Linked DNA regions of Oryctolagus cuniculus. The protein of the gene in region 1 interacts with the protein of each later gene in a pairwise test. Links are inferred from orthologs where the notes say so. Each region holds a gene or a part of one and is shown in the gene's direction. Other genes may lie near its edges. The genes, in order: NTAQ1, CBY2, BLMH, PNMA5, LONRF1, EDARADD and GNMT.

Region 1 (2,441 bases):
CTGATACGTCTTTTTTTTTTTTTTTTTTTTTTTTTTTACAATTTATTTATTTGAAAGGCAAAGTTACAGAGGCAGAGAGAGAGAGGTCTTCCATCCACTGGTTTGGTCCCTAGATGGCCATAACAAATGGAACTGCGCCAATCCAGAGCCAGGAGCTTCTTCTAGGTCTCCCACACCGGTGCAGGGGCCCAGGTGCTTGGGTTATCCTCCACTGCTTTCCCAGGCCATAGCAGAGAGCTGGGTTGGAAGTGAAGCATCCAGGACTTGAACTAGTGCCTATATGGGATACCAGCACTGCAGGCAGCGGCTTTACCTGCTACACCACAGCACCAGCCCCCTGACATGTCTTTTAAAAGTCTCATTAACTTTTTTACTTGTAATTTGAAGAAACTGGGTCTGAGAGAAACAGTCTGGCTTTGCTGATTATATCTCGGCATGTTCTTTGAATTTCCTGTACATTGGCCATTGAAACCACTAAATTGGCTGTTTGATTATTCATGTACTTTTTCACTTTTATTTTGAAATAATTTTGGTTTCTAGGTAATTTGCTGAAACAGGACAGAGTTTCTGTGTAGTTTTCACTTAGGTTCCCTTAGTGTTAAGTCTTACATAATAGCAATACAGTTACTTGAACCAGGAAAATGATACAATGGCACAAAAACAGTGATATATTATTATGACACAGTACTATTAACTTCTTTAGGTTTTGTTTTTTTCTCTAATTTGCTTGTTCTGGTCCAGAATCTAACCCCATGATATTATGGTTACCTTTTCATGTCTTTCCAGTTCCCTCTGATCTGTGCTAGTTTTTTTCTCCCTATGTTTCTTTTACAGCCTTTATGCTTTTGAAGCCTGTTATTTTGTAGGGTGTCCCTCGCTTTGGGTTTGTGTGACGTTTTGTCGTGATGAGGTAGAGGTTGTGCCAAAGGCCAGCATACCGCAGAAGTGACATTGAACCCTTACCCACTTGAACAGTTTCCCTCCTGTGGTGTTTGGAGTTGTTTTGTTGCTGTTAAACCCAAATCGTGTTTTCAGTAGACATTTCTTTCATGTATTTTTCTAGATTCCAAAATGAACCTGAATGATTTCATCAGTATGGACCCTAAGGTGGGATGGGGCGCTGTCTACACGCTATCCGAATTTGCACATCGGTTTGGCAGTAAAAGCTGCTGAGCTCGACATCAGGACGTGGAACTGTGGAAAAATTTAGGACCTGAACAAGCCATCCCTTCACTTAGGACAATGAACATTATGGTACAGTTGGCCTGGAATTATGTTTTTCCTCCCTTAATTCAATTGAGTGGAAACACGAATGAACACAAGTATAAACACACTAAGTAAAAAAAAAATTTTTTTTTTTTTTGCTGTGTCAAGTTGAAACTTGATTTAGCGTGTAAGCTAAGAAATTCCTGTGGCTCACTTGTAAGGTGTATGATGACTTCCGCCAGTGATTGCTCCTGTTGGGTGTGGACTGAGCCCTGGGTCCTCCTGTGTGTTCTGGATGTCTGCAGTGTCTCTCCAGCTGCACTGGAAGCTCCTGGGGGCAGAGCCGCGGCGCCTTGCTCTGGGAAGCTCTGATGCTCGTGTGAGGTGCCCATGAAACATTTTCTTGTGACCGTGCTGCTGTTTTTAAAAGGGATAATGTTGTGAGCTGAGTCAGCAATAAATATTAGTCTTCCTGGGCTGTGATGTTTAGAAGATCGCAGTCCTCTCTTACTTGGCCTGTTTATTTATGGTTTTGAATAAAATTGATTGAGAATTATTTTTGTTTTGAAGATTTTTGTGTCATTGTTGATGATCTGAGACACCCAACAGTGTGTCAGTCATAGATGAGAACCAGTGCTTTAAAATTCATTTATCTCCTCTGCCTTTGTGAGGGTGTCTTGGAAATCTGGCTTTAATCATGTCATTCCAAATAAAAGATATTTGACATTAACCTGGCATATTGTACCAGCTCTCATTCATGTTTGTGTGGTTCCATTGTGAAAACGAATGACTTCCTACAGCAAGGATGACTAAGCTTTTGTTCTTAGATGAGTCTTGGCCTTATTAAGACACTCGGGTTTGATGTGAGTCATCTGCTTTGTGCTGTGGAGGGTAAGACTTAGACATTTACTGAAGCATCCAATAGTCTAAGGGAATGTGACTGAGCGCATTGGTTCAGATGACCAGGAAGATTCTGGGAGAAAGCCAGGGAGCTTTTGGTAGGAAGAATATAGATACCACCTCTTAAGTTGTTTTATAACAGAGCTAAATATGGAGCCCACCCTGAGATCTCTTCATGGAGTTTCAGAGGGCTTATCAAGTTCATGGCTAAAGTAAAGAAGATAAATTTTGGCAGGCAGTGCTGCAAAAAGACTTTGTCCTGAGCAGAAACGTTTCAGGGAGATCAAAGGACCATAAACTCATTTACAAGTGGCTCTTTTGAGTTTTTCTTGCCA
Region 2 (4,147 bases), on another chromosome or scaffold:
GCTTCGCTGATCCAAAGCCAGGAGCCAGGTGCTTCTCCTGGTCTCCCATGGGGTGCAGGGCCCAAGCACTTGGGCCATCCTCCACTGCACTCCTGGGCCACAGCAGAGAGCTGGACTGTAAGAGAAGCAACCGGGACAGAACTGGCGCCCCAACGGGGACTAGAACCCGGTGTGCCGGCGCCGCAGGTGGAGGACTAGCCAAGTGATCCACGGCGCCGGCCGCATGTTAGGTCTTAAAGCAAAGCTTTCTTGTAAATTTGGGTGTGGGGGACTCAAAAAGGTGGTTCTGGCTGGTGTCTCAGGATCTGCTGCCTCTGGTCCGTCATTCCCTTCTTACTGCACGTAGGGTTGGGGTGTGCCACTGGCTTACGGTACAAGAAAAGGCTCCCATGAACAGCCTCTAGTGGTGAATGATTTGCCCGAAGTGAGGCCAGGGCATGGGGCATTGTGGTCTTGATGCTGTTACCTCCGTGGTATAATAAGAAAATAAACTCTGCTTTTGTCCTTGATTCCTGGCACAGAGCTCCTAAAATCCTTGGCATTTCCTCTGTGTCTTTTGTTATTCATAATGAGCCCCTTTGGAACACACCTGAGTTTCAGCTAATGAGGCAACCCTTGAAGGCTGGGGGCTGCCGCCAGAAAAACTGACCATGTGATTAAAAAGAGGAAACTCTCATCACCACCCCCCAACCCCTACCTCTAGGAAGGGGGGAGGGGCTGGAGATTTAAACAACCACGCCTGTGTAATGAAACCTCAACAGTGGGGTTCAGAGAGTTTCCTGGTGGGAGGACACGTGGACGTGCTGGGAGAGTGGCTGCCCAGGGCTGGCACGGCCACTCCACACCACCCTCAATGCCCAATACCTTCCCTGTGCATCCCGTCTATTTGGTGTTCCTGAGTTGTGCCCCTTATAAGAAAATGGTCATCATAAGTAAAGTGTTTTCTTGAGTTCTGTGAGCCATTCTTGCAAATTATTGAAGCCAAAGAAGGGGTCATGGAACTCCTGGTTTATAGCTGATCAGTCAATGGTACAAGTGGCATCTGAGGTGAAGGCAGCTTGGTGGGACTGAGCACCTAACCTCTGGGATCTGGCACTCGCTCCAGGTCGATGGTTTCAGGGCGTCCACTGGTGACAGCCCTGGGGAATCAAGTGGTGCCACAAAGCTCCTGAGTCCCTCTTTCCTCCTTTGGTCTGGGAATTCAGTTGGTATTTCTTCTTGAGCAATACAACTACAAGTAGATAATGCCCCTTCTGGAGAGAGGACGGCCTGGCAGTGGGGATGACCAATCAGGGCCTGGTGTTTGGGGTATTGTGTGTCACACTGACCCTACTTAGCCACGTGGTCACAGATGCTGCAAAACTCTTCCTACCTGCCAGATGCTTCGTTCCCACCTGTGACGCTCAGAGAGAAACCATGAGCCCTGCAGAACACCATATTGTTTTGTGATGTCACCTCTGGAATGTTCTGAGTGTTTTGGTGACCAACTTCTGCACAGGACCTATACCTGGCACCTCACATTGGTATGGCTTTTTGCTTGGGAGGGAAACAGTAGTCTTACACAAGGATGTAGATATTAGCAATCAGTGCTTCAAAGACATCAGCTATAGTATCTGTATGAATTTGTTTAATAAAATATCAGAGATTGTCCACACACATTTGCAGATGCAGATTTTCATAATGTACCTAATTGACAAGAAGCAAATAAATGAGTAGAAAGTCCTATAATTGTCAGATGAGCAATGGAGGCCCAGAGGGTGGGTTGGGCAACAGAAATTTTCCTCTTTTCTCTTTTCTACAGCACTCGAGGCCAAATTTTACAAGAAAACGAGATACCAGATCTGAAAGCCTAGAAATCCCAATCAATGTGGTTCTGCCTCAGGTAGGATTAATCACAGAAGGATGAAATCTGCCCGTTTAAGGCAGAATAACACTCCTCTTCCAAAACTCCAGCCTGATGTGGAGTAAGCTGAAGAGTCAAGGCCTCCGATTCTAGTTGTGCATTTGACCACCCACCCATTCTGTGCCTGGGGGAGGAAACATGGCCTCTGTGGGCCTTGGGTTCCTCTTCTCTCATACGAGGAGTGTGAATTAGATGACCTGGCCACCCTAACATTTCAAGTTTCTATGCTAGACTGAAAACAAAAAAAAACAAAAAACAATCAAATATTCATCCTCAAAGGGAGATCTTTGGTGCTTGGTGATGTATTAGCACTCTGGATTTCTAGGGGGACAAGTAGACCTGGGGCTTGGGGTCAAATGCTTACGAATGAGTCCATGAGGAGAAAACCTAGCACATTGACTGGATGCTAAGGTATCATTTGGAGATGTCAATAGAATTAAGCCCTGCTGTGTACCAAAGAGAGAGCATAAAGGATACGTGCATGGTTTTGTTTGTTTTGCTTGTTTGTTTTTTTAGGACAATGTGTAGGTGCAGTTCTGACAGGCTGGATTTTTTTTTTTTTTTTTTTTTTTTTTTTTTTTTTTTTTTTTTTACAGGCAGAGTGGACAGTGAGAGAGACAGAGAGAAAGGTCTTCCTTTGCCGTTGGTTCACTCTCCAATGGCCGCCGTGGCTGGCGCGCTGTGGCCAGCGCACCGCGCTGATCCGATGGCAGGAGCCAGGTGCTTCTCCTGGTCTCCTGTGGGGTGCAGGGAGCCAAGCACTTGGGCCATCCTCCACTGCACTCCCGGGCCACAGCAGAGAGCTGGCCTGGAAGAGGGGCAACCGGGACAGAATCCAGCACCCCTACCAGGACTAGAACTTGGTGTGCCGGCGCCGCGAGGCGGAGGATTAGCCTAGTGAGCTGCGGCACCAGCCAACAGGCTGGAGATTCTAAGGTCTTCTCCTGCAAGTGGCTGTTTCCTTGGTGGGGTTCTCTTGATTGGATTGTTTCTACTGCTGTTATGTCACAAAGGGCATGGCCTTGCTTCTCCCAGAGTCACTCAAGGCCCCTTTGGAAGACCATGGGCATGCAGTCAGAGGGGTTGAAATGTAGAATGGAGAGATCCAATGCAGAGGTAACTATCTGACAGCTCTGTCCAGAGTCATGTAGGAGGGTGGGTCACCAGTGGGCATTCTATGTATGTGACTGAACAATCTAGGCATGTATGTTCAGCAGGAGGCACAAATAGAGGACAAGAAAATATTCTGGATGTTTGTTTTCACATTATCCTTAAAACTCTGCAAGTAACAGACACTTTCTATCTGTTTCAGCTCATGAGACTTAGCCAGAATATAGCATTGCTGATCATTTGACAGGATGATGATAAGCTACAGGAACCTTTCTAGGTCCAATTCTTTCTGTTGTATACAGGGAATTCCATTGGACACTATTCCTTTTGATGGTCGGTGTTGCTCCTTTGATTCTTCATAGCCTGTGTAATTCAATCTTTCCATTGTTAAAGGATGGGTAGAAGATGCCAATCCAGGGTGGGGTGGAGGTGACAGTGAGGGTGGGAATAGGATTTAAATAAGTGATGGTCACATGATAGAAAGATTGGAGAGATTCTTCTATCTATATCCAGCACAACTTCCCCTATCCACTCCCAGAAACATCCTAGCAATCAAGGAGGAGAAAAGGAGGCTTGAGACTATGTCCCTGGCTTGTCCTGGGGCCACCCACTTTCTGTGCTATAGGACCTGGTACAGCTGTTGGGCAGTTGGAAGACAGGGTGGGTGTACAGTGAGGAAAATGTTCAGCAATTATCTGGGCACATGTACCCCATGTGGACAGATGTGGCCTCAGGGGTACACATGACAAAGAAGCACAACCAGGAAGCAGGTTGAAGGCACCTTCCAGGATACTGTAGACTAGTCATCTGCAGGAAGGAAGTGGGCAAACCACCACTAGTGCTGTGAGAAAGATGATGTGTTTGCTAACTCTCCCAACATGAGATGGTGCACACAATTGGAGGTAAGCATTGGCAGAGGAGAAAAGAGGGGGAGAAGTGTTGACTGAATATTGATCTATTGATCATATCATGTTTTGAGCACAAAGACACGCAAATGTAAGATTTTCTAGGTATGGGAACCAGGAATTCCTAGAGCCCTTCAGGTAATAGTAGGGTTGGAGTCAGGATCTTGAACCAGGTCAATATCCATACTCACTTGGCTGCACCAGGTCACCTCTTAGCTCTATAAGTCTT
Region 3 (4,208 bases), on another chromosome or scaffold:
GAGACAGACAGCCATCTTCTGCTGCTTTTCCAGCTGCGCCAGCAGGGAACTGGATCAGAAGTGGTGCAGTTGGTCTTGAACCACTGCCCACATGGGATGCTGGCATCACAGGTGGTGGCTTTACTCACTCTGCCACACCGCCAACCCTATTTTATTTTTTAGAAAGATGCGTTTATTCATTTGAAAGTCAGAGTTATAGAGAGAGAAGGAGAGAGAAAGGGAGAGAGAGAGAGATTGTCCATCCATTGGTCACTCCCCAGATGGCTGCAAGAGCTTGGGCTGTGCCAGGCTGGAGCCAGAAGCATCATCTAGGTCTCCCCCATGAGTGTCAGGGACCCAAACTCTTAAGCCATCCTTTGCTGCATTTCCTGGGCCATTAGTGGGGAGCTGGATAGGAAGTGGAACCTCCAGGACACAAACTGGTGCCCATATAGGATGCTGGCGAGTCAGGTAGCAGCTTCACCTACTTCGCCACAACACTGGCCCCTTAATTCAACTTTAATTTGCATTTCCATCATTATTATTTATTTGCCGTTCATGCTTCTTTTTTGTGAGATATCTGTTTAGTTTTCTGTTCCTTTTTATATTATGTTGTTCATCTCTTTCCTATGAATATTTAGGCATTTGTAAAATATATCTTTAAATTAAATGTGTCATTGGGCCGGCGCTGTGGTGCAACAGGTTAATGCTCTGTCCTGAAGCGCTGGCATCCCATATGGGCACCAGTTTGAGACCCAGCTGCTCCACTTCCAATCCAGCTCTCTGTTATGGCCTGGAAAAGGAGTGCAAGATGGCCCAAGTCCTTGGGCCCCTGAACCCATGTGGGAGACTCAGAAGAAGCCTCTGGCTCCTGGTTTTGGATTGGCGCAGCTCCGGCTGTTGCAGCCATCTGGAGAGTGAACCAGCGATGGAAGACCTCTCTCTCTCTCTCTCTCTCTCTCTCTCTCTTTCTCTGCCTCTCCTCTTTCTGTGTAACTCTGACTTTCAAATAAATAAATAAATAAAATCTTAAAAAATAAATTAAATATGTCACAGATACCTGCAAGGTATCCTTTAAAAACAGAAATTGAATCATGCCCTTTCATCCCTTAAAACCCTACAATGCCTTCCTGTCATACTTAGAATAAAATTTGAACTCTTGCTACGGTGCAGCAAACAGCAAGGCTAACTCTCAGTTCCCGCTCCTCCCCTGCAGGACTGCGAAGCAGCAGTGCAGGCTGGGGCACTGGCCGGCGCCCCCCACCCCCACCCCCACCCCCGGGGAAGGCCTGATTGGCATGAGAGTAATTACATTCCCCTTGCCAATGACCGGAACAAGAAAAGTCTCATGACCTCATTTTGGACAACAAAATTCAGAGAGAGAGAGAGAGAGAGAGAGGCTGAGAGGTCCCAGGAAAGTTGTTCGTACTCTTAGGAGAGACAGAGAAAAAGTCAGACGTTTTCCCACCGGACTTAAAAAACAAAGCATGAGGAGAGCCGGAGGTTGCCGCTTCCGCCATGGGAGGCTGATCCTGGAGCTGGGGAGAAGCTGATCCTGTACCTCCCTGGTGAGTGCTGCGTGCTGTGTGTTTCTGTTAAGGCCTGACACACGCTTTTCCTTCTGGATGCTTTCTCTCATAGACCCTTGCGAGCCTGGGTCTTTTCTCTCTTCAAAAAAAAATTAACGCTTTTTTACTTGAGAGGCAGACACACACACACACACACACACACACAGATCCTATCTGCTCTTCCGCCCTGCCAAATGCCTACGACGACTGGGACTTGGCCAAGCCAAAGCCAGGCACCAGAATCTGAAGCTGGGAACTCAATCCAGGTCTCCCAAGTGGGTGACCTGGCCATGGGCCATTACCTGCTGCATCCCACGGTCTGCATTAGCAGAAAGCTGGTGTCAGGAGCCAGAGGTAGGAATCAAACCCAGGGACTCTGACCTGGAACGCAGGGCGTCTTAACTGCATTCGCCTCAGGCTGGCTCCTTACTGAACTCACTCTCAGCCCAAACAGTCCCCTCTTCTCAATGGCTTTTCCAGTGACCACTACCCCTGGCCAGTCACTGTCACGTGAACCTGTTTTATTTCCTGTAGGCCACTAATATATTTGTTTATTGTTTGGGTCCACTAGGATGTAAGCACCAGAATGTGGAGGACGTCGCCTCCCTATTTTCCCTGTGTATTTCTCTACCCAGTATAGCTTAATCAGTAATTTTTTAAATTGTCTGTGTATTTGAAGGTCAGAGTCACAGAGAGAGAGAGAGGGAGAGAGAGAGAGATCCTCGGTCTGTTGATTCACTCCCCAGATGTCTGCAACAGCGGGGGCCGAGCCAAGCTGGAGCCAAGAGCCAGGAACCTCATCCAGGTCCCCCACATGAGAGACAGGGGCCCAAACACTAGGGCCATCCTCCTGCACCCTTCTCAGGCCACCAGCATGGAGCTGGATGGGAAGTGGAGCAGCCAGGACACAAACTGGTGCCCACATGGAATGCTGGCATCACAGGCAGTGGCAGCGTTACCGCTATGCCACAGTGCTGGCTCCCCAATCAATATTTTCATCTTATTTTTTTTTAAATGATGAATTTTGTTGCTTATTTTCTGCACTAGATTGGAGCTCCTTGAAGTCAGGGAGTACATCTTACTGGTCTTTGTGTCTCAAGTGTCTAGTTCACTTGCTGCCAGACGGTGGGTGTTCAGAAAGCAGTTGAGTGAATGAATCAGATGCAGGGAAGGGAGAGCGATTGGGGAGAAATAGAATCCCAGTGTATTGCTTTTGAACTTTTTTTTTTTTTTTTTTTTTTTTTTTTTGACAGGCAGAGTGGACAGTGAGAGAGAGACACAGAGAGAAAGGTCTTCCTTTGCCGTTGGTTCACCCTCCAATGGCCGCCGCTGCAGCCGGCGCACCGCGCTGATCCGATGGCAGGAGCCAGGAGCCAGGTGCTTTTCCTGGTCTCCCATGGGGTGCAGGGCCCAAGCACCTGGGCCATCCTCCACTGCACTCCCTGGCCATAGCAGAGAGCTGGCCTGGAAGAGGGGCAACCGGGACAGAATCCGGCGCCCTGACCGGGACTAGAACCCGGTGTGCCGGCGCCGCAAGGTGGAGGATTAGCCTATTGAGCCACGGCGCCGGCCAAGAATCCCAGTGTATTGCTTTTGGACAACATCCGTTGAATACAATTCTCTTTCATTTGTCTCACTGCCTGTAGGTATTCTAGTAGCCCTATAAATAAAGGATGCATGACTTTCAACATGCTTTGCTAGCTGGTAACCTTCTTTTCAACCTCATCTCTCACCTCCTACATATGTAACATTTCTTTTTTTTTTTTTTTTTGAAAAAATATTTATTTATTTATTTTGGAAGTCAGAGTTACAGAGAGTGAGGGATCTTCCATCTGCTGGTTCACTCCCCAGATGGTCTCAATAGCCAGGGCTGGACCAGGCCGAAGGTAAGAGCCAGGAGCTTTATCTGGGTCTTCCATGTGGGTGATAAGAACACAAACACTTTGACAATCTTCCACTGCTTTTCCCAAGCTATTAGCAGGGAGCTGGATTGGAAGTGGAGCATCTGGGTTATGAACTGGAGCTCACATGGGATGCCAGCATTGCAGGTGGTGTCTTCACCCGCTGTGCCACAATACTGGCCCCTGTATAAAGCATTTCTCACCCCAAATGTTGCAGGCATTCGGGGAGTAAGCCAATGGATAGAAGATCTCTCTCCTTATCATTTATTCTTTCTTTCTTTCTTTTTTTTTTTTTTTTGACAGGCAGAGTGGACAGTGAGAGAGAGACACAGAGAGAAAGGTCTTCCTTTGCCGTTGGTTCACCCTCCAATGGCCACCATGGCTGGTGTGCTGCGGCCGGCACACTGTGCTGATCCGAAGCCAGGAGCCAGGTGCTTCTCCTGGTCTCCCATGCGGGTGCAGGGCCCAAACACTTGGGCCATCCTCCACTGCACCCCCAGGCCACAGCAGAGAGCTGGCCTGGAAGAGGGGCAACCGGGACAGAATCCGGTGCCCCGACCGGGACTAGAACCCCGGGTGCCAGCGCCGCAGGTGGAGGATTAGCCTAGTGAGCCGCGGCGCCGGCCGATCATTTATTCTACACTCCTACCACAGCAATGTCTAGAAAAATTGACTTTTATGATAGGAATACAATTCTGAAGCCTTCACACAAAATTAAAAACTTCTATAATTTAGTGCTATTTTTCTCATAACATAAAAT
Region 4 (4,276 bases), on another chromosome or scaffold:
GCCACAACACAAAAGGCTGAGGGGTTTCTTAACCTTCTGGGTGGTCCGGGTTTACAGGGTTCAGGTAAAATGCACCATGATCTCCTCCTCATCCCTCAGCAACTTTTTGTTTTTAAGGAAAGACTAGGGAGGAGCCAAGTCTAGCAGTGAGAAGTAGAATGAAGTACAGAGGTGCTCAGGACAGCTCTGCTCACAGCCTGTATGAGACTGGGCAGCTGGTGGTGTCATCCAGAGGGTGCTGTGGACTGCTGTAAGGAGAGCCGTCTGGTCTGTGACCACGTGGCAGCGCCAAGTAATCATTTTCTCCAGTAAGGAGAAGGAAATTAATTTAAGAGATAGTCCAAAGTATGTTCTTGTTAAGTACGCAGTATAGGGGTCTGGGTTACAGTGTCATGTCTCACCTAGGAAAAATTTTCAATTAAAGGAGAATAATGCAATATTTGTATGTATCTTACTTGGTGACATTTAGTTTTAAAAGTTTTCTGCTTTTCACATTTTCATTAAAATATGATTTTAAAAAAGGCCTGTTATTCGTACCAAATACAGCAAAACTTACGTTCTGTCAGCTTACAACTTCTGGCTCTGGTAATCTCAGAGCAGTGCTACACAAAGCATGGGCAGGGAACTGCAATAGCCGCTAGAGTTTTGGTACTTTTGCAGACTCTGAGCTCTGCCAAGACCTCCTGACTCACAACTTGAACCGCTACTATCACCTGCTCTGGGAAATGTGTGTGCACTTTGTAAACTGCTACCAGTGTCCCACCAGTGCCCTTTGCTGGGACAGGACTTTAGGGTCCCCAGTAGCCCCAAGGAAAACAGCTAAGTCTTCCCTCTGTGGAAGAAACCTGCTTTGGGAAAGAAAAGAGAGAAGTTTCGGTACCTCGTGGGTAATTCTCATGCAATCACGAGAATAATGAGAGAATGAAATCTTGATAGTTTCCTGTATCTCAATGAGCCTTGAAAATTGCATGCATTTGTAAAATGAAGGTAGTAGCTGTATTTTTTATTTTTTGCCGTCCCCTAGGACACAGTGGATAAAAATTAACAAGGACAGAGACGTTTGGTTAGTTAGTAGGTACCGAGCTTGTAGTTTGCACCTGGACCTATACTTTGCACATAGCCCTGTGTGCATAGCTTGGAATACACAAACAGGAGGAGCCACTGGTGAAAGTCAGAGCCAGTCCCAGTCCAATGGGTGAGAGACACCTATCATAGTAGCCGCAATGGTTGCTGGGACTGATGTGACAGGTGGTGGTCCTGTCGGCCTCTATTGAGCACGTACAAGCTGGACTGTGAGCAACTCTGCAACGCAACAGTTCTCAGTATGGTTTGAATTCTCTGTTCCCCCTCCAGTCATGACTCAGAGGAGAAACGTGCGGTGGACAGGGCACAACCCCTTTATTGCAGGAGTGGGGTGGAGGTGGAGATGGGGGTGGGCGTGGCCGTAGACGTTGCCGGGATGCATCTGCGAGTGGGCGGTGCTGAAGACCGTTGCTTACCCGACAATTTCTTTCCCGCCACAAACTCGCGGCTCATTCCGTACAGTGGCGGCGGCAGAGTGGCCACGCTGCACGGGCGCTGTGGCCTGGAGGCATTCCCAGAAGGTAAGGAGCTGGGTTTGGGCACAAAAGGGAACCAAGGTTACAACAGATTCCCTCCAATGATCCTGGTTGACCTCCATGAGGTCCCAGGGGCCAGTGGCCTTAGATTCCCCTGGAAGCAGAATCCTAGGGGTCCCTGATATTTCCAGTTATCATGAGTGGCCTCAGAACTTTAGGAGGGCCCATTCTACCCCAAACCTGCCCAGACGTAGCAGTAAGGACAACTGGTTCTGGCCCTTATCCTTGAGGGAAAGTGGCTTTGGCCATTCCTGTTCTAGCCTCTAGCTACCTCTGCTGACTAGATGTGTCCCTGCTCAGAGTAGTGGAAAGGGTGTGTGAGGTTAGGAGTGAATGGGACAGCCTGATGGGTACAGGAGGTTAAAGATAATGAGGTGGGGGAAAGGAGTACAGGGAAATGGAAGTGAGGAACTTGGGTGGGTGCAGGACGTGCACATGAATGGCGGAGTGTATGACACTCGGATGGACACAGAGTTTGGCGGTTCAGTGGCTCTTGGTGAAAGTGGCTTTTGGCGCCAGAAATGGCGCTTGCGCAAGACGCAGTTTGCCGGTTCAGTGGATCTTCAGAGGTTGGCTTTTGGCGCCAGGAATGGCGCTTGCGTGGACGCAGAGTTTGGCGCCAGAGGTGGGGCTTACGTGGACGCAGAGTTAGACGGCAGGGGTGGGGCTTGCGTGGACGCAGAGTGTTGCGCCGGGGTGGGACTTGCGTGGACGCAGAGTTTGACGGCAGGGGTGGGGCTTGCGTGGACGCAGAGTGTTGCGCCGGGGTGGGGCTTGCGTGGACGCAGAGTTTGACGGCAGAGGTGGGACTTGCATGGACGTAGAGTGTTGCACCAGAGATGGAACTTGCGTGGACGCAGAGTTTGACGGCAGGGGTGGGGCTTGCGTGGACGCAGAGTTTGGCACCAGAGGTGGGGCTTACGTGGACGCAGAGTTAGACGGCAGGGGTGGGGCTTGCGTGGACGCAGAGTGTTGCGCCGGGGTGGGACTTGCGTGGACGCAGAGTTTGACGGCAGGGGTGGGGCTTGCGTGGACGCAGAGTGTTGCGCCGGGGTGGGACTTGCGTGGACGCAGAGTTTGGCGCCAGAGGTGGGGCTTGCGTGGACGCAGAGTTTGACGGCAGGGGTGGAGCTTGTGTGGACGCAGAGTGTTGCGCCGGGGTGGGGCTTGCGTGGACGCAGAGTTTGACGGCAGAGGTGGGACTTGCATGGACGTAGAGTGTTGCACCAGAGATGGAACTTGCGTGGACGCAGAGTTTGACGGCAGGGGTGGGGCTTGCGTGGACGCAGATTAGACGGCAGGGGTGGGGCTTGCGTGGACGCAGATTAGACGGCAGAGGTGGGGCTTGCGTGGACGCAGAGTTTGACGGCAGAGGTGGGACTTGCATGGACGTAGAGTGTTGCACCAGAGATGGAGCTTGCATGGACGCAGAGTGTTGCGCCGGGGTGGGACTTGTGTGGACGCAGAGTTTGGCGCCAGAGGTGGGGCTTACGTGGACGCAGAGTTAGACGGCAGGGGTGGGGCTTGCATGGACGCAGAGTGTTGCGCCGGGGTGGGACTTGCGTGGACGCAGAGTTTGGCGCCAGAGGTGGGGCTTACGTGGACGCAGAGTTAGACGGCAGGGGTGGGGCTTGCGTGGACGCAGAGTGTTGCGCCGGGGTGGGACTTGCGTGGACGCAGAGTTTGACGGCAGGGGTGGGGCTTGCGTGGACACAGAGTGTTGCGCCGGGGTGGGGCTTGCGTGGACGCAGAGTTTGACGGCAGAGGTGGGACTTGCATGGACGTAGAGTGTTGCACCAGAGATGGAACTTGCGTGGACGCAGAGTTTGACGGCAGGGGTGGGGCTTGCGTGGACGCAGAGTTTGGCACCAGAGGTGGGGCTTACGTGGACGCAGAGTTAGACGGCAGGGGTGGGGCTTGCGTGGACGCAGAGTTTGGTGCAAGGAGTGGGGCTTGCGTGGACGCAGTTACATGGCAGGCGTGAGGCTTAGGTGGATGCAGAGCTTGGCCTTGGGGGTGTGGCTTGAGTGGAGGTGGGATTTGGGGCTTGGTGGGTGGGATTTTTCCCTGGGGGTGGAGCAGCAGTTTCTTGTATTCGTGAGCAGATTCAAAATTGGCACATCCTGAGCAGGGCATTTGGGACGTAACCACAGTGAAATACCTCTGCCTTGCTTTGGACAGATCCAGTGAAGGGATCCTGATCCATCTAACCTGGTTCGGGAACTGCCTGACAGGACAGAGCTGGAGAGCAAGCTGAGTGCCTGATTACATCAGAATCACAAACTCTACACGGCCAGTGGAATCCACACTGCCAAGTCGTCAAGTAAGTTATTTTGGAAGGTGAGCCTCTGTGACCCTGGCAAAGGACAAGGGGACAAAGGCTGCCTTCCAGGATCCACACACTCTGCAGGGTAGGGCCACACCTAGGGTGACAGTTGTCTGTTTCCTGCAGCGGGACAGTGGGAACCCTTCGTTGGGTCCCTTTTCTGCCCCTAATTCTAGCTGCTACACAATATGAAACCTTAAGCACTTGTTTTTTCAGCACTCAGTCCTTGCTGCTCACCTCACCCCCATCTCCCCTTCACTCTCCCAGCTCCCTTGCTGCTAGGACATTTCCATTGGCTGGAGGATAGTGACATCACCTGTTGCTCTTCAAG
Region 5 (3,500 bases), on another chromosome or scaffold:
TAAGTAGGATTCTACAGTATTACACTGCTAAGTTAGCAAGGCTTGTGGAGGTCAGGCCATGCCATGTTTCTTCAGTTTGGCACATTATCTATGTGAAGCAGAAATATGTGCTATTATAGTGTAAGAACATACTGTAATAATTCTGCGTGGAAAAAGAGCCTCCCAGTTCTTCTGAGACTTGTTGGCATTTCTATAGGATTAGTGATATGGACGGGGGAAATTAGACACAGAAGTCTCATTGCCTATTTTCTTTCCAGGTTGAAAATGAAGATGAAATAAAGAACCTCAGAGAGCTTCATGATTTGGTGTACTCTCAAGCCTGCAGCTGGTTTCAGAATTTAAGAGACAGATTTCGAAGCCAAATTCTTCAGCACTTTGGATCAATGCCTGAGAGGGAGGAAAACCTTCAGGTAAGATGACTTTGATATTGCTTCCAAAGGTCTCTCTTTTTTGTAAGCCCAGATTAGTAGATTTTTAAATTTAACTTCCAATTGCCTTTAAAAGTATTTATTTTGAGAGATAGATAGATAGATAGATAGATACACACGCACACACACACAATAAGAAAGAATTCTCCCACCTACTGCTTCCCACCCTAAATGACTGCAGCAGCTAGGGCTGGGCCAAACCAAAGTCAGGATATGGGAATGTAATCTGGATCTCCCACCTGGGTGGTAGCAACCCAAATACTTTAGCCGTCACCAGCTGCTTCCAGGGTGTCCATCAGCAGGCAGCTGGGATTGGGAGTAGAGCCAGGACTCAGACCCAGACACTCCAGTATGGGAGTGGATGTCCCAAGTGGCATCTTAACTGTAGGCCAAATGCTACCGCGCATTTGCCTTTTTGTGCAGCATTTCCATTGGCTTCCTGCCTTCAGGATCATGGCCTTATTCTCCAGAATGGTGATGTCCATTACATTTCACATAGCTAGGAAACAGATGTCAGCTCAGATACCTGTGGGAGGCAGCGCTGCATGGGGAGAAAGTCCTTAACTGACCATTTTCTGGAAGGAACAATAAGGAATTTATAGTGGGACATAACCATCTAGTCAGCTGTGACTGTGAGAAAACCATACCTTCACACCTTGGAGCCAGTCAGCTGTTGCTGTTATTCTTTAACAGTTGAGAGATATATCATCTTGCATACACAAAAAAGTCATTTGTCTCTGGGAGTGGGTGTTCAGTGGTTCAGATGCCTGTGTTCCACATTAGAATACCTCAGTTACATACAAGGCTGTGGTTCTTGACTCCAGCTTCCTACCCATGTCCCTTAGGCGGCAGCAGTGGTAGCTCAAGCAGTTGGCTTCCTGCCATTTATGTGGAATACCTGGGTTGAGTTTCTGACTCTCAGCTCTGGCTCCTCCCCACCTCAGCTGTTTCAGCCACTTGGGGAGTGTCCCAGCGTAAGGAAACTCTCTCTGTGTCTGTGCCTCTCAAATAAATACAGTTTTAAAACAGGTGTATTTTTTTCATGTCTCATTTTATTACCAATATTCTACTCCATAGCCTCTCAATCCATTTTCTGTGTCTTCATATTTAATACTTCACTCCTCCTGAAACTTTTTTTTTAATGGTCTTTCACAGATACTTGGAGTTTACATTGAGCTTAATTTAATTACCGTGTATCAAGCACTTTCTGTACAAGCAGATCTGTGTAGAAGGCAGTGAAGAAGGCATGAAAGAAGGGCTGCTGTGCTGGGAACTCTGGTTATAGACTCATCAAAGCACTCACTTTCAGACCTGAGCATCCTGACTCGCATAGTGTTTGTGATCAGAAAGTGATAGATTTCGTAAAGGAATAGCTTCAAGTAGGTAGATGAAAATGGAGAGATAATAGATCTCATTGTGAACCATACTGTCTCTCATTCTGATTGCCAAAGTTGTTTAAAATCTGGCTGAATCCCAGTTGAATCCTTCACTTAAACTTGAAATTTCAGCATAAGACCATCTCCATATTGAGTACAGTGCTCATTCTGTATCTAGCGTATTATCAGTCGCCACACATTTGTTTTATTCTGGCTACCTGGTGCTGATTAAACATGACAAAAATAGGCTCTGACAAGAACGAAATTGAATGAGTAAATTTTAAGCATTAAAAATAGCTTCTAGAAAAAGCCAGCATTACTTTCCCATGACCTTCACCACCCTCGTCTTTTATCACCCAGCTGTCTACCATTGCTCCCTGTCAGTCATCCTCTATAAATCAAGATTCAGTCAGGAACACTAAGGCAGTCATTCCACAGTCCAGGAACAAAATGTTTAATGAAGGGTGCACAGTTCATACACACTGGAAGAGCTGGGTGGGTGCAGGTGATGTTGTCTCCAGCAGGGTCCAGGAGTCTGTGCACAGACCTCTGTCTGATATTCCGTCTCTGTCTGACGGTTCTCGAGAGCTTGCCGGGGAGCTGCTATGGTTTTAGAGATCCTGGGGAGTTTCCACCAGTGTATCAGTCTGCAGCCTTGCTGCAGGTGGTTTTCAAGAATTCTCTGGAAAACTGCTGTCCATGCTTTGCAAAGTCTCTGGAGAATAGCTTCTCTTCCAATTTCTGGCTCTCACAAGAGTGCCTCATGTTGGTCAAGTCTAACTTGGAACCATACAGGGTAGGGAACTCTGGGAAATGTTGTTTCTGACACTACTGCAATACAGAATGAATTGAGAACAGATAATATACTATGTAGAAATAAAATCTGGTCCTAAGGGAAGCTTATTTAGATCAGTGCCAGCATAGCTTTATTTGTCATTCTGAAGCTCCATTTTTCAGGGCCAATGAAAAGCACTTCAATATGTAGTAGGATGGCTTATAAATTTGCTTATGTAGATTTCCTAGTTCTGCACCCTTCATTAAACCCTTCATTTCTGGACTGTGGAACTACTGCCTTAGCTTTCCTGACTGCATCTTGATTCTGCAAAATGACTGACCAAGAGCTATAGTTCTTTCTGTATCCAGTAGTCAGTCCCTGTACCATCAGAGGGACCCTATTGCTAGAGGTATGTTTATTTTCAAAGTAAAAGAAACAGAGACACCCCTTTTTTTTGTATTTTTCTTTAGGATTTTATAATTCTTTGAAGAAATTTTAAAGTATCAATTAACTTTTTTAATGCTTTAAATACATATTTTAAGAAGACAGTTCTTAACTAAGGGTGCTTTTACACCACAGGACATTTGGCACTCTCTAGAGAAATTTTTGGCTAGCACACCTGGAGAGGTGCTCCTTGCATCTAGTGGGTAGTGGTCAGAGATGCTACTGAGTGTGCCACAGTGCACAGGACAGCCCCACACCACCAAGGGATTATCTGTGTCAGTAGCCTGAGCTCAGGAAGCCCTGCTTTGAGGCAGTACTGTACAGGGGAAAGGGTGTTGTCTGTGGAGTCGGGTCTGGCTTTGAATCTTGACTCTGCACACAGGAGTCTAGAGATCTTGGGCAATTTGTATTACATTTCTAAGTGTCTTCAGTGTGTATGAGCAGAATAATAGCCTACCTTACATGATTGTTAAGGGA
Region 6 (3,984 bases), on another chromosome or scaffold:
TTTGTAAATTTCAAAATATCATAGCTTCCATTTGCATTATACTTTATATATCACAAAGCACACAGGAAAAAAAAGATAATGATGAAGAGATTTTGATTCATAGGGAAGGAGGCACAAAAAAATGGAATGAAAGGGAAAAACATGTACCTCATCAGTCTTCTTTCTGAAAAAATTAACCTTAAAATGCATTTCTACCACCCAGCTTCTATTTGATATAGTGAAAGATAGGCATGATAAGAGGATGAATTACAGTTCAGAGTTTTGTAAAGCAAACCCTCATTAGAGTGACACTTGAGGTTGTGCTGCTGAGAAAGAGAGAGCCTAACTTGACTTGTGGTTCCTGACAGCCAACCTCACAAACAATTCCATCTGCATGTAAAGTACAGAAAGAACCACAAACCAAACCTCAAAATGGATTCTATGAGAAAATACCCTTAAAAAAATTCCCTTCCTATCAGAAGGTAGACCAAGAGGAAGTTTATCCTCCCACCCACAAATTTGCAAGAGCTTTCGTCTTCAAGTTTTTGCTGTGGTTCAGCATACAGTGAGCACCCTCTTCTCTTGAACGTATTTCTTCCATGGAAAATTCCAGAGAATAAGACGGCAGTCTTCAATGTGCCATGGGCCTCAGGACGACTAAACAGATGGGGAGAGGCACAAAGCAACCTGCTGGTCACCAAGAGGGTATGTAGACACTTGCCACTCTCCTGAATCTTTCAGGGCTCAGTGTTCAGCTAGAGGTTACTTCCGTACGGTAACTGACTGATAATATTGTACACTAACTACTATTCTTAACTCTTTCAAACCAATTTTTGTGATTGAGTTCTTAGGTATGAAGGTATCAATGATTTAAAACTCTTTAGAGATTCCTAGTAAATTTAAATTGCCTGTAACATTCCAATAATAAATTAAGTTTTAATTAAATGTTTAGTTAAAATGTAGCAATATTAAATATATTCTTAATAAATTATTGCAATCAATGCTCACTTAAGGAAGTGGTATAAAATCCCATTTGAATCAAACAAGTTATATTTTTAGAGGACCAGTTGAGCATTTCCCAGAGAACCTGAAGCAGTGTTTTCTAGAGAGGCTATGAGTGTGCGCCTCAAGTCTGCTTTGTGTAGCATTCACCCTGGAGGTCATGTAATAACTAATGCCAAAGAACAATCCAAATAGAAAGTATTAGCGTGTGCCATCATGCAGCGGCACAGTCTGTCTAAAGATGAGGAAATTGTTTAAATATCAGATCGCCGGCAGGCATCTCGGCCCAGGCCTGTGTGAGGTGAGTCCCAGCTGGGGAGCGATTAGGGAGCCGGGAAGGCGACCTGCGGCGGCCGTTTCGTCTGTCCCGTGGCTGCAATAGTCTTAGCCCCGCGGTGGGACCCGCACAGGGGAACGTGGGCGCGGGACAGGAAGTGCACCAGGGGCACAGGGGATGCCCTGGACCCCAGCGGGGGCGGGGGGCGGGAGCTCTCTCTGCGCTCCAGCCTGCTGCCTTGGAGCCTCGGCCCCCGCCGCACGCCTCTGGAGGGAGGGACGCGCAGAGAAGGGGCTTTGCTAATTGGCAAAGCAGGAAGTGAGCACGAGGAAGAAGCGGTGGAAACGGAGACGGGGAGAAGGAGGAGGAGGTAGAGGAGGAGGAGGAGGTGGAGGTGGAGCAGGGGCGCGCAGAGCTGCCTAGCTTTGCTGGGAGCGCGTTGGAAGAGCAGGATTTTACTGTGGTCCCGCTCTCCTCCCCAGTCCCGGAGGCCGCCCAGCCCGACTCGGGCGCTCGTCTGCCCCCATCCTGCCCCCATGGCTTCTCCGGACGACCCTCTGCGCGCAGGTAAAGTGACACCGCGCTGCGCACCCACCTGGAGCGGGGACCACTGGCCGGGAGCTCGCGAGGCACCCACGGATGCGGCGGGGTGTCGGGGCAGAGCCTCGGTGACCCCAAGGGGTATCCCGGGGGCCACCTGGGCCCCGAGTGGCTGGGCTGGGTGCAGCGGTGGCACCCCCTACTCTGGCCCCCTGGGCGGCTTTTGGTTGGAGCCGTTGCCCCCAGCACTCTCCATGGCCCCTGCTTCTGATTTCCCTACGCGTGCCTGACGCTGTCCTCTGGCTGTGTGGCGACCCCAGCAGCTTCTGTTCCGGGCCCAGGGTGCCAGGTTGAAACAAGCCCCCAGAAAACTCTAACTGAAAGGAGTGTAACAGTGCTGTCTGTGAATCCTCACTCACATTCCTTCTCATTATCTGCTCTTTCTCCTCGATTCTTTTTTCTTTAAACACTTTTGTAAATAGTGGTCCTTGGAGCTATTTTATAAACTAATATTCACAGAACCTAGGGGCTGGTCCCACAGAAGAATTCTGCTGCTCGTGTGGAGGCCTTGGATTTAGAAAATAGGCTCTAGTTTTACCCTTATTTTAAAATACTGAGTGTTTTGTACCTGAGGCCGGACTTTAGATTTTTCTTTAATCTCTCACTTGAATTGAAATCTTCATACTTCACCTTGCAGGAATTCTCTGTCCCCGGTGGCACATAACCTAGGCCGTGAGCTCCACAATTTTATTGAACATAAAAGTGAATGAATTATGTATTCCCCAGATTACACTGGTGCTTTGTCTGCTTTTGCTGAGGTTGGAAATGCTAGGGAGAGCCAGAAAAAACTGCTGAGATGAATGTGTTCCCTATTGTGTTTCTTGAGCTTAGGCAGGGGGCAGAGCTTGACCCTTCCTTGGTGCTTTGTGGCTTGAGCAGTTAGGAGAAGATAGAACGTGTCAGAGGTGCTCAGTAGATTAAACCAACAGCCAAACTGGCGCTGTGAACGGTGAACGGCCAGGGGGGTTTCCAGGAGCCATCAAAGAAAAATTGAAATTCATCTTCAAGTGGGAATGATAAACATTTATCAACTGGAGATGGACCATACCTAGACTGGACGTCCTTTCCCTCTCCATACCCCCATCTCCCATTGTTTGGAGAAACACAAGGGCACGGAAAGGAGGAAACCCTCTCCCACTCCCCTATCCTCACTTCCATCCCTGGATCTACCTCCTCTTCTAAGAAAGGAATTGACAAGGAGCCAAGAGGTGTTTTAGGCTAGATTTCACTAATAGTGCTCTCAGATTTCATTAAGTGATGATGAGGGGTGGGATTCACAATGATCTTGAGAGAGAGTCATTGAATGGGGATAAATGTGAAATATGCTTGGGCCCCTGATGGGCTGCGGCAAGCAGGGGGAGGTGGGAGGGAGCTAGGAAACACAGCTAGGCAGTGGCATCGGTATATGAAAAGCCCCAGTGAGTTGATCGTTTGATATGGCCACCAGGTGGGCAAACGTAATCTCAGATGTCAGTAACAGCACTCCAGGGTCTGTGATTCCAGTGATGGTGCTTGTAGCCTGCTTGGCCTGGTCAGCTTGGAACCAGTGCATAACCTGGAATAAAGGGACTTTGAAATCCCAGCAGCATCTGTGGAATGATGAGAGAACAGAAGATTTGATGGTAGGAGAGCGTCCTATATAAAGAATCTAGCTCTTTAAAAGGCAGAATGGAAATCTGTGGGTGAACTCTTTTTTTTTTTTTTTTTTTTTTGACAGAGTTAGAGAGAGAGACAGAGAGAAAGGTCTTCCTTCCGTTGGTTCATCCCCCAAATGGCCGCCATGGCCGGAGCTACACCGATCCGAAGCCAGGAGCCAGGTACTTCTCCTGGTCTCCCATGCGGGTGCAGGGGCCCAAGCACCTGGGCCATCCTCCATTGCCTTCACGGGCCACAGCAGAGAGCTGGACTGGAAGAAGAGCAACCAGGACTAGAACCTGGCGCCCATATGGGATGCCGGTGCCGCTGGTGGAGGATTAACCAAGTGAACTACAGCGCCAGCTCTGGGTGAACTCTTTAGACAGAGGTAGATTTGAGTGTCCCACAAAGATGAGGGAGACCTCCTAAGGTTGAGACCTCCCCATCACTTGGCAGATGACGTTGAAGAACATATTCAGGCATCTGAAAGA
Region 7 (4,225 bases), on another chromosome or scaffold:
GTGCGGGTGGAGGCGGCATCCACATCATGGTCTCAGTGGCACTTTCCTAAATCCACCTTAGTCAGGGTCTTGTCCTTGGGAGAGAAATTTGGAAAACTTACTGCTCCGGGCAGTAAGGGTAGACATGCACTAAGCAAACCAAATGACTAATTTGTTTATTTCATTTGAAAGGCAGAGAGACAAGAGACAGAGAGACATACAGGCTAACAGAGAGAGCCCCATCCACTGGTTCACTCCCCACATCCCCACAACAGCCAGGGCTGGAGCAGGCCGAATCCAGGAGCCTGGAACTCAGTTCCCATCTCCCACATGGTCACCTGCTGCCTCCTTGGGTCAGCACTGTTAAGAAGCTGGAACAGGAAGTGGAGCCAGGACTTGAATCTCGGCACTTCGATATGGGATGTGGGTGTCCCTGAGTGGAGTCTTAACAGCCAGGCCAGATGCCCACTCTCAAATGCCCAACTTACAAAGAGACAGTGTGAGGGTCTCCCGGGCCCCTCGAAGACCCCAGCAACGGGGTCATGGAACATGTCCTGGCCAGCGACAGTCAGCCCAGGTCTGTGTCCCCAGGTTAGGATCCACATTTGCAGCGGTTGTCAGCTTCCAGCTGGCCTGCGTGGCCCTGGCTCCCTCGCAGTGTATTTTAGTAAATCTAACTCTGCTCACTCTCCGCTCTGGTGAATTCTCGCTGCCTGCCACACAGGCCTCAAATGGTCACTTCCCACGACAGATGGGAACAATAAAATAGCAAGGGCACCGAGCATGCTCACTCCTGCCCCTGTATGTGTGACCCTGTGGGCGCCTGGAGGGAAGCAGATGGTCTTTAGTGCCCAGTGGACCAGATGTTAGAAGCGGGTGGGCGGGGGGTAGGAACCACACTCAGCCTTAGCAGGCTCAGGGGGAATCCTGAAGTGTCTGTCGCCTACACAACAGCGACACACCTGCTCCAGGTGGGCAGGGATGCTTCTTCCTCCAGTCAGGGCTCTGTCCCTGACTGTGGGAAACGGAGCGGCACCATCCCCAGGACGCCTCGTGCCCGGGCTTTCCTGGCTGCCGGGCCTTCCTCCTGTACGCCCATCGCCTCGCCGCGCGGTCCAGTCCTGCCGCTCCCCGCCCCCGCCCCTCACCCCGCTCAGCTCGGTGTGGGTTTTGAAGTGCTCTTCCCTTTTTCCCAACCGGAGCAGGCGTGGAGAGGGCCCTGTGCCTCCCGGGGCCGTCCTGCAGGTGCGGGCCGAGTGGGCAGCAGGTTCCTTCCCACGTGGGCTTGTCCAAAGGGCTGGGTGCTGAACTGCCGGGCAGCGCCTTGCCCGAAGTCCCGGCAGCAGCGGGCTCGCGGCCACGAGTCCAGGAGGGGCGTGTCCCCGCGCTCACCTGCCATTGGCCAGGTGAGGCTGCCGGGTCGACCGCCGCGGCCGAGCTATAAGTGCCGAAGCCGAGGTTGCGGGGCCCAGGCGCGGTCAGGATGGTGGACAGCGTGTACCGGACCCGCTCTCTGGGGGTGGCGGCCGAAGGCCTCCCGGACCAGTACGCGGACGGGGAGGCGGCGCGCGTGTGGCAGCTCTACATCGGGGACACCCGCAGCCGTACCTCCGAGTACAAGACGTGGCTGCTCGGGCTGCTGCGGCAGCACGGCTGCCGGCGGGTGCTCGACGTGGCCTGCGGCACCGGGTGAGCCCGAGCGGGGTAGGGGGGCGACCAGGGGTCGGCTTGGCCCGGCCGCCAAACCACATGGCAGGCAGGAGCCAGGGCCCAGGAGCGCCGCCGCCGCCTCCGGGGGAAGAAGGGGTGCGGCGAGTGTCCGGGCGAGGGCGGAGGGAGAGCGGGGGTGAGGGTGCGCGGGCCTGGGCCTGGGCCGCAATGAGAGCGATCAGGGCGCAGAGCAGGAGCCGGACTTTGGGGCCAGCCCTGATCCTGGCTCCCACCTGGCCCCTCCAGCCCTGACCTTGGGCAGCGTTAACAATTGCTCAGCGTGCGTACATGCCAAGCGCTGCACCAGGAACTTGTGTTCCTGCTGTTTTTCAAACCCTCACAAAACCCCATGGGGGTGAGTAGTGCTAATCCGCACTCACTCCTGGGGAAGTGAGGGCTCAAAGTCAGTCAAGGCCCCACCTGGTGCGGAGGAGACACCACCCCAGGTTGGTTAGGGTCGCGCCACTGCGCTGTCCTGCTTCTGGGGCTATAACTTAACTCCAGGAACTGCAAGTTGTCCCTTTCTCAAAGGCAGCTCACACACCTGCCCCAGAGTCCCTGGGAGGATTAATGCAGTTTGCACATTGCCTGGCTCTGCAAAGGTGCTCGTTAAGAGGCGCCCCCTGGTGATCAGCTGCAGATTTGCCAGGTCATCTGAGGGCAGTGAGAAGGCAGAGGAAGCCTGGGCCTCTGGAGTTGGGACAGAGGGGCTCCACTTGCCAGGGGCCTCCTTGTCTTCCCAGGCCCCTGACTGCCCCTCTCCGACCCTGTGCAGGGTGGACTCCATCATGCTGGTGGAGGAGGGCTTCAGTGTGACGAGTGTGGATGCCAGTGACAAGATGCTGAAGTATGCGCTTAAAGAGCGCTGGAACCGGCGGCACGAGCCTGCCTTCGACAAATGGGGTATGCAGTTCCGGCTGGGCGCAGCCCAGAGACGCCGTCCTCTCTGCCCTGGGTGCCAGGGCTGGGCAGGGGGACAGCTGGTTCTCCTCAAGGGGACAGCAAAACGGTCATCTCTCTGAGGAGGAAGGCTTGGGTACCAGAATGGGGCAGTGAGTGTGAGAGCTTTAACTGGCCCTCCCCCCAAATGAACACACACACACAGCCCCCACCTCTCTTGACCCCTCCATGTCCATCAAGACCCCCTCCTAACTGGATAGGATTGCGCACGCATGCAGGTGGGTGTGCATCTTAAAGAACAAACAGGCAGGACTGCACTTGGTGGAGGGGTGCTAGTCATGCCACGAGGTTACCCTGCTTCCTCTTCTCCCGCCTGGCCCCATAGTCATAGAAGAAGCCAACTGGATGACTCTGGATAAAGACGTACCCCAGCCAGCAGGGGGTGGCTTTGATGCGGTCATCTGCCTTGGAAACAGTTTTGCCCACCTGCCAGACTGCAAAGGTGAGAGGTGTGGTCTCGGGCAGGCAGAGCCTTGCCTTGAACCCCACCCCTTTCCACAGACCCCTGGGAGCCTGCCCTCCTGCCAAAGCACACTCTGCTCTCTGCCCTCCTGTGCCGCAGTGCTGGAGCCCCTGGGGAGGAGACGGATGGGGGGAGGCTGGCGCTAGGGGCCCTGAGCTGACCGAGCCTCTGCCTGGAGCTCAGGGGACCAGAGCGAGCACCGGCAGGCGCTGAAGAACATTGCAAGCATGGTGCGCACCGGGGGCCTGCTGGTCATCGACCACCGCAACTACGACCACATCCTCAGCACGGGCTGTGCGCCCCCCGGGAAGAACATCTACTACAAGGTGAGCCCCCCAGGAGGGAGGGGCCGCAGTGCACGGTGTGAGCCTGGGCTCCAGGGCCCCACGGTGGGTGACAGAGGCTCACACAGCCTGTACCACTGCCCAGAGTGACCTGACCAAGGACGTCACGACGTCAGTGCTGACAGTGAACAACAAAGCCCACATGGTGACCCTGGACTACACGGTGCAGGTGCCGGCGGCTGGCCAGGACGGCCCTCCGAGCTTGAGGTAACACTGGGCTTGGCGGAGGTGAGGTGGCCATGAGGGGAGCCGGGGCCAGCAGGCCTCACGGCTGGCTGGGGCTCTGTTGCAGTAAGTTCCGGCTCTCCTACTACCCACACTGTCTGGCACCCTTCACGGAGTTGCTGCGAGCAGCCTTCGAGGGCAAGTGCCAGCACAGCGTCCTGGGCGACTTCAAGCCTTACCAGCCGGGCCAGGCCTACGTTCCCTGCTACTTCATCCACGTGCTCAAGAGGACAGCCTGAGTGCGGCCGCAGCTCCCACAGCCTCCTGCCCGACCTGGGGAGGGGGGCCCGGCAGCCCCACGCCCAGCCCCTCTGTCCCTGCAGGTGCTGGGGGTGTGGGTTCAGGCCAAAGGTAGAGTAAGCAATACAGCCTGTGCCTTGTCGGATCCTGCAGGCTTTGTGTTTCTATGTTGCTCTTCTCCACACCAAACAGTCCTGCCACAACACCAGCAGGGGGCGGCATACACTTTATTTTCAGCCACTGTGAGGGCCCAATCCCCAGCTCTCCTGAGCAGCTGGCCTGGGGCAGGAGATGCCTGGTGAGC

What was found.
Region 2: the proteins of NTAQ1 (region 1) and CBY2 interact in binary tests that used the Homo sapiens proteins (3 or more experiments, as listed by UniProt). The two-hybrid records come from large-scale screens. The link is inferred for Oryctolagus cuniculus from reciprocal best matches to the Homo sapiens genes NTAQ1 and CBY2.
Region 3: the proteins of NTAQ1 (region 1) and BLMH interact in binary tests that used the Homo sapiens proteins (3 or more experiments, as listed by UniProt). The two-hybrid records come from large-scale screens. The link is inferred for Oryctolagus cuniculus from reciprocal best matches to the Homo sapiens genes NTAQ1 and BLMH.
Region 4: the proteins of NTAQ1 (region 1) and PNMA5 interact in binary tests that used the Homo sapiens proteins (3 or more experiments, as listed by UniProt). The two-hybrid records come from large-scale screens. The link is inferred for Oryctolagus cuniculus from reciprocal best matches to the Homo sapiens genes NTAQ1 and PNMA5.
Region 5: the proteins of NTAQ1 (region 1) and LONRF1 interact in binary tests that used the Homo sapiens proteins (3 or more experiments, as listed by UniProt). The two-hybrid records come from large-scale screens. The link is inferred for Oryctolagus cuniculus from reciprocal best matches to the Homo sapiens genes NTAQ1 and LONRF1.
Region 6: the proteins of NTAQ1 (region 1) and EDARADD interact in binary tests that used the Homo sapiens proteins (3 or more experiments, as listed by UniProt). The two-hybrid records come from large-scale screens. The link is inferred for Oryctolagus cuniculus from reciprocal best matches to the Homo sapiens genes NTAQ1 and EDARADD.
Region 7: the proteins of NTAQ1 (region 1) and GNMT interact in binary tests that used the Homo sapiens proteins (3 or more experiments, as listed by UniProt). The two-hybrid records come from large-scale screens. The link is inferred for Oryctolagus cuniculus from reciprocal best matches to the Homo sapiens genes NTAQ1 and GNMT.

Annotation. Positions count from the first base shown.
Region 1 is NC_091437.1:149,158,463-149,160,903, forward strand, and holds the end of NTAQ1 (protein N-terminal glutamine amidohydrolase), read left to right. Parts: intron 1-1,063; coding exon 1,064-1,173; 3' UTR 1,174-1,941; downstream 1,942-2,441. UniProt on the Homo sapiens protein: Mediates the side-chain deamidation of N-terminal glutamine residues to glutamate, an important step in N-end rule pathway of protein degradation.
Region 2 is NC_091440.1:64,764,256-64,768,402, forward strand, and holds the start of CBY2 (protein chibby homolog 2), read left to right. Parts: upstream 1-1,347; 5' UTR 1,348-1,448; coding exon 1,449-1,523; intron 1,524-1,801; coding exon 1,802-1,882; intron 1,883-2,890; exon of another isoform or gene 2,891-2,905; coding exon of another isoform or gene 2,906-3,019; intron 3,020-4,147.
Region 3 is NC_091448.1:45,698,746-45,702,953, reverse strand, and holds the start of BLMH (bleomycin hydrolase), read left to right. Parts: upstream 1-1,408; 5' UTR 1,409-1,547; intron 1,548-4,208. UniProt on the Homo sapiens protein: The normal physiological role of BLM hydrolase is unknown, but it catalyzes the inactivation of the antitumor drug BLM (a glycopeptide) by hydrolyzing the carboxamide bond of its B-aminoalaninamide moiety thus protecting normal and malignant cells from BLM toxicity.
Region 4 is NC_091453.1:131,406,284-131,410,559, reverse strand, and holds the start of PNMA5 (paraneoplastic antigen-like protein 5), read left to right. Parts: upstream 1-1,476; 5' UTR 1,477-1,604; intron 1,605-3,800; 5' UTR 3,801-3,942; intron 3,943-4,276.
Region 5 is NC_091433.1:78,025,142-78,028,641, forward strand, and holds part of LONRF1 (LON peptidase N-terminal domain and RING finger protein 1), read left to right. Parts: intron 1-257; coding exon 258-410; intron 411-1,583; coding exon of another isoform or gene 1,584-1,667; exon of another isoform or gene 1,668-3,500.
Region 6 is NC_091444.1:61,364,979-61,368,962, reverse strand, and holds the start of EDARADD (ectodysplasin-A receptor-associated adapter protein), read left to right. Parts: upstream 1-1,184; 5' UTR 1,185-1,222; coding exon 1,223-1,282; intron 1,283-1,740; coding exon 1,741-1,825; intron 1,826-3,984. UniProt on the Homo sapiens protein: Adapter protein that interacts with EDAR DEATH domain and couples the receptor to EDA signaling pathway during morphogenesis of ectodermal organs. Mediates the activation of NF-kappa-B.
Region 7 is NC_091436.1:127,046,987-127,051,211, reverse strand, and holds GNMT (glycine N-methyltransferase), read left to right. Parts: upstream 1-1,425; 5' UTR 1,426-1,462; coding exon 1,463-1,668; intron 1,669-2,464; coding exon 2,465-2,592; intron 2,593-2,974; coding exon 2,975-3,091; intron 3,092-3,295; coding exon 3,296-3,438; intron 3,439-3,541; coding exon 3,542-3,663; intron 3,664-3,748; coding exon 3,749-3,920; 3' UTR 3,921-4,066; downstream 4,067-4,225. UniProt on the Homo sapiens protein: Catalyzes the methylation of glycine by using S-adenosylmethionine (AdoMet) to form N-methylglycine (sarcosine) with the concomitant production of S-adenosylhomocysteine (AdoHcy), a reaction regulated by the binding of 5-methyltetrahydrofolate.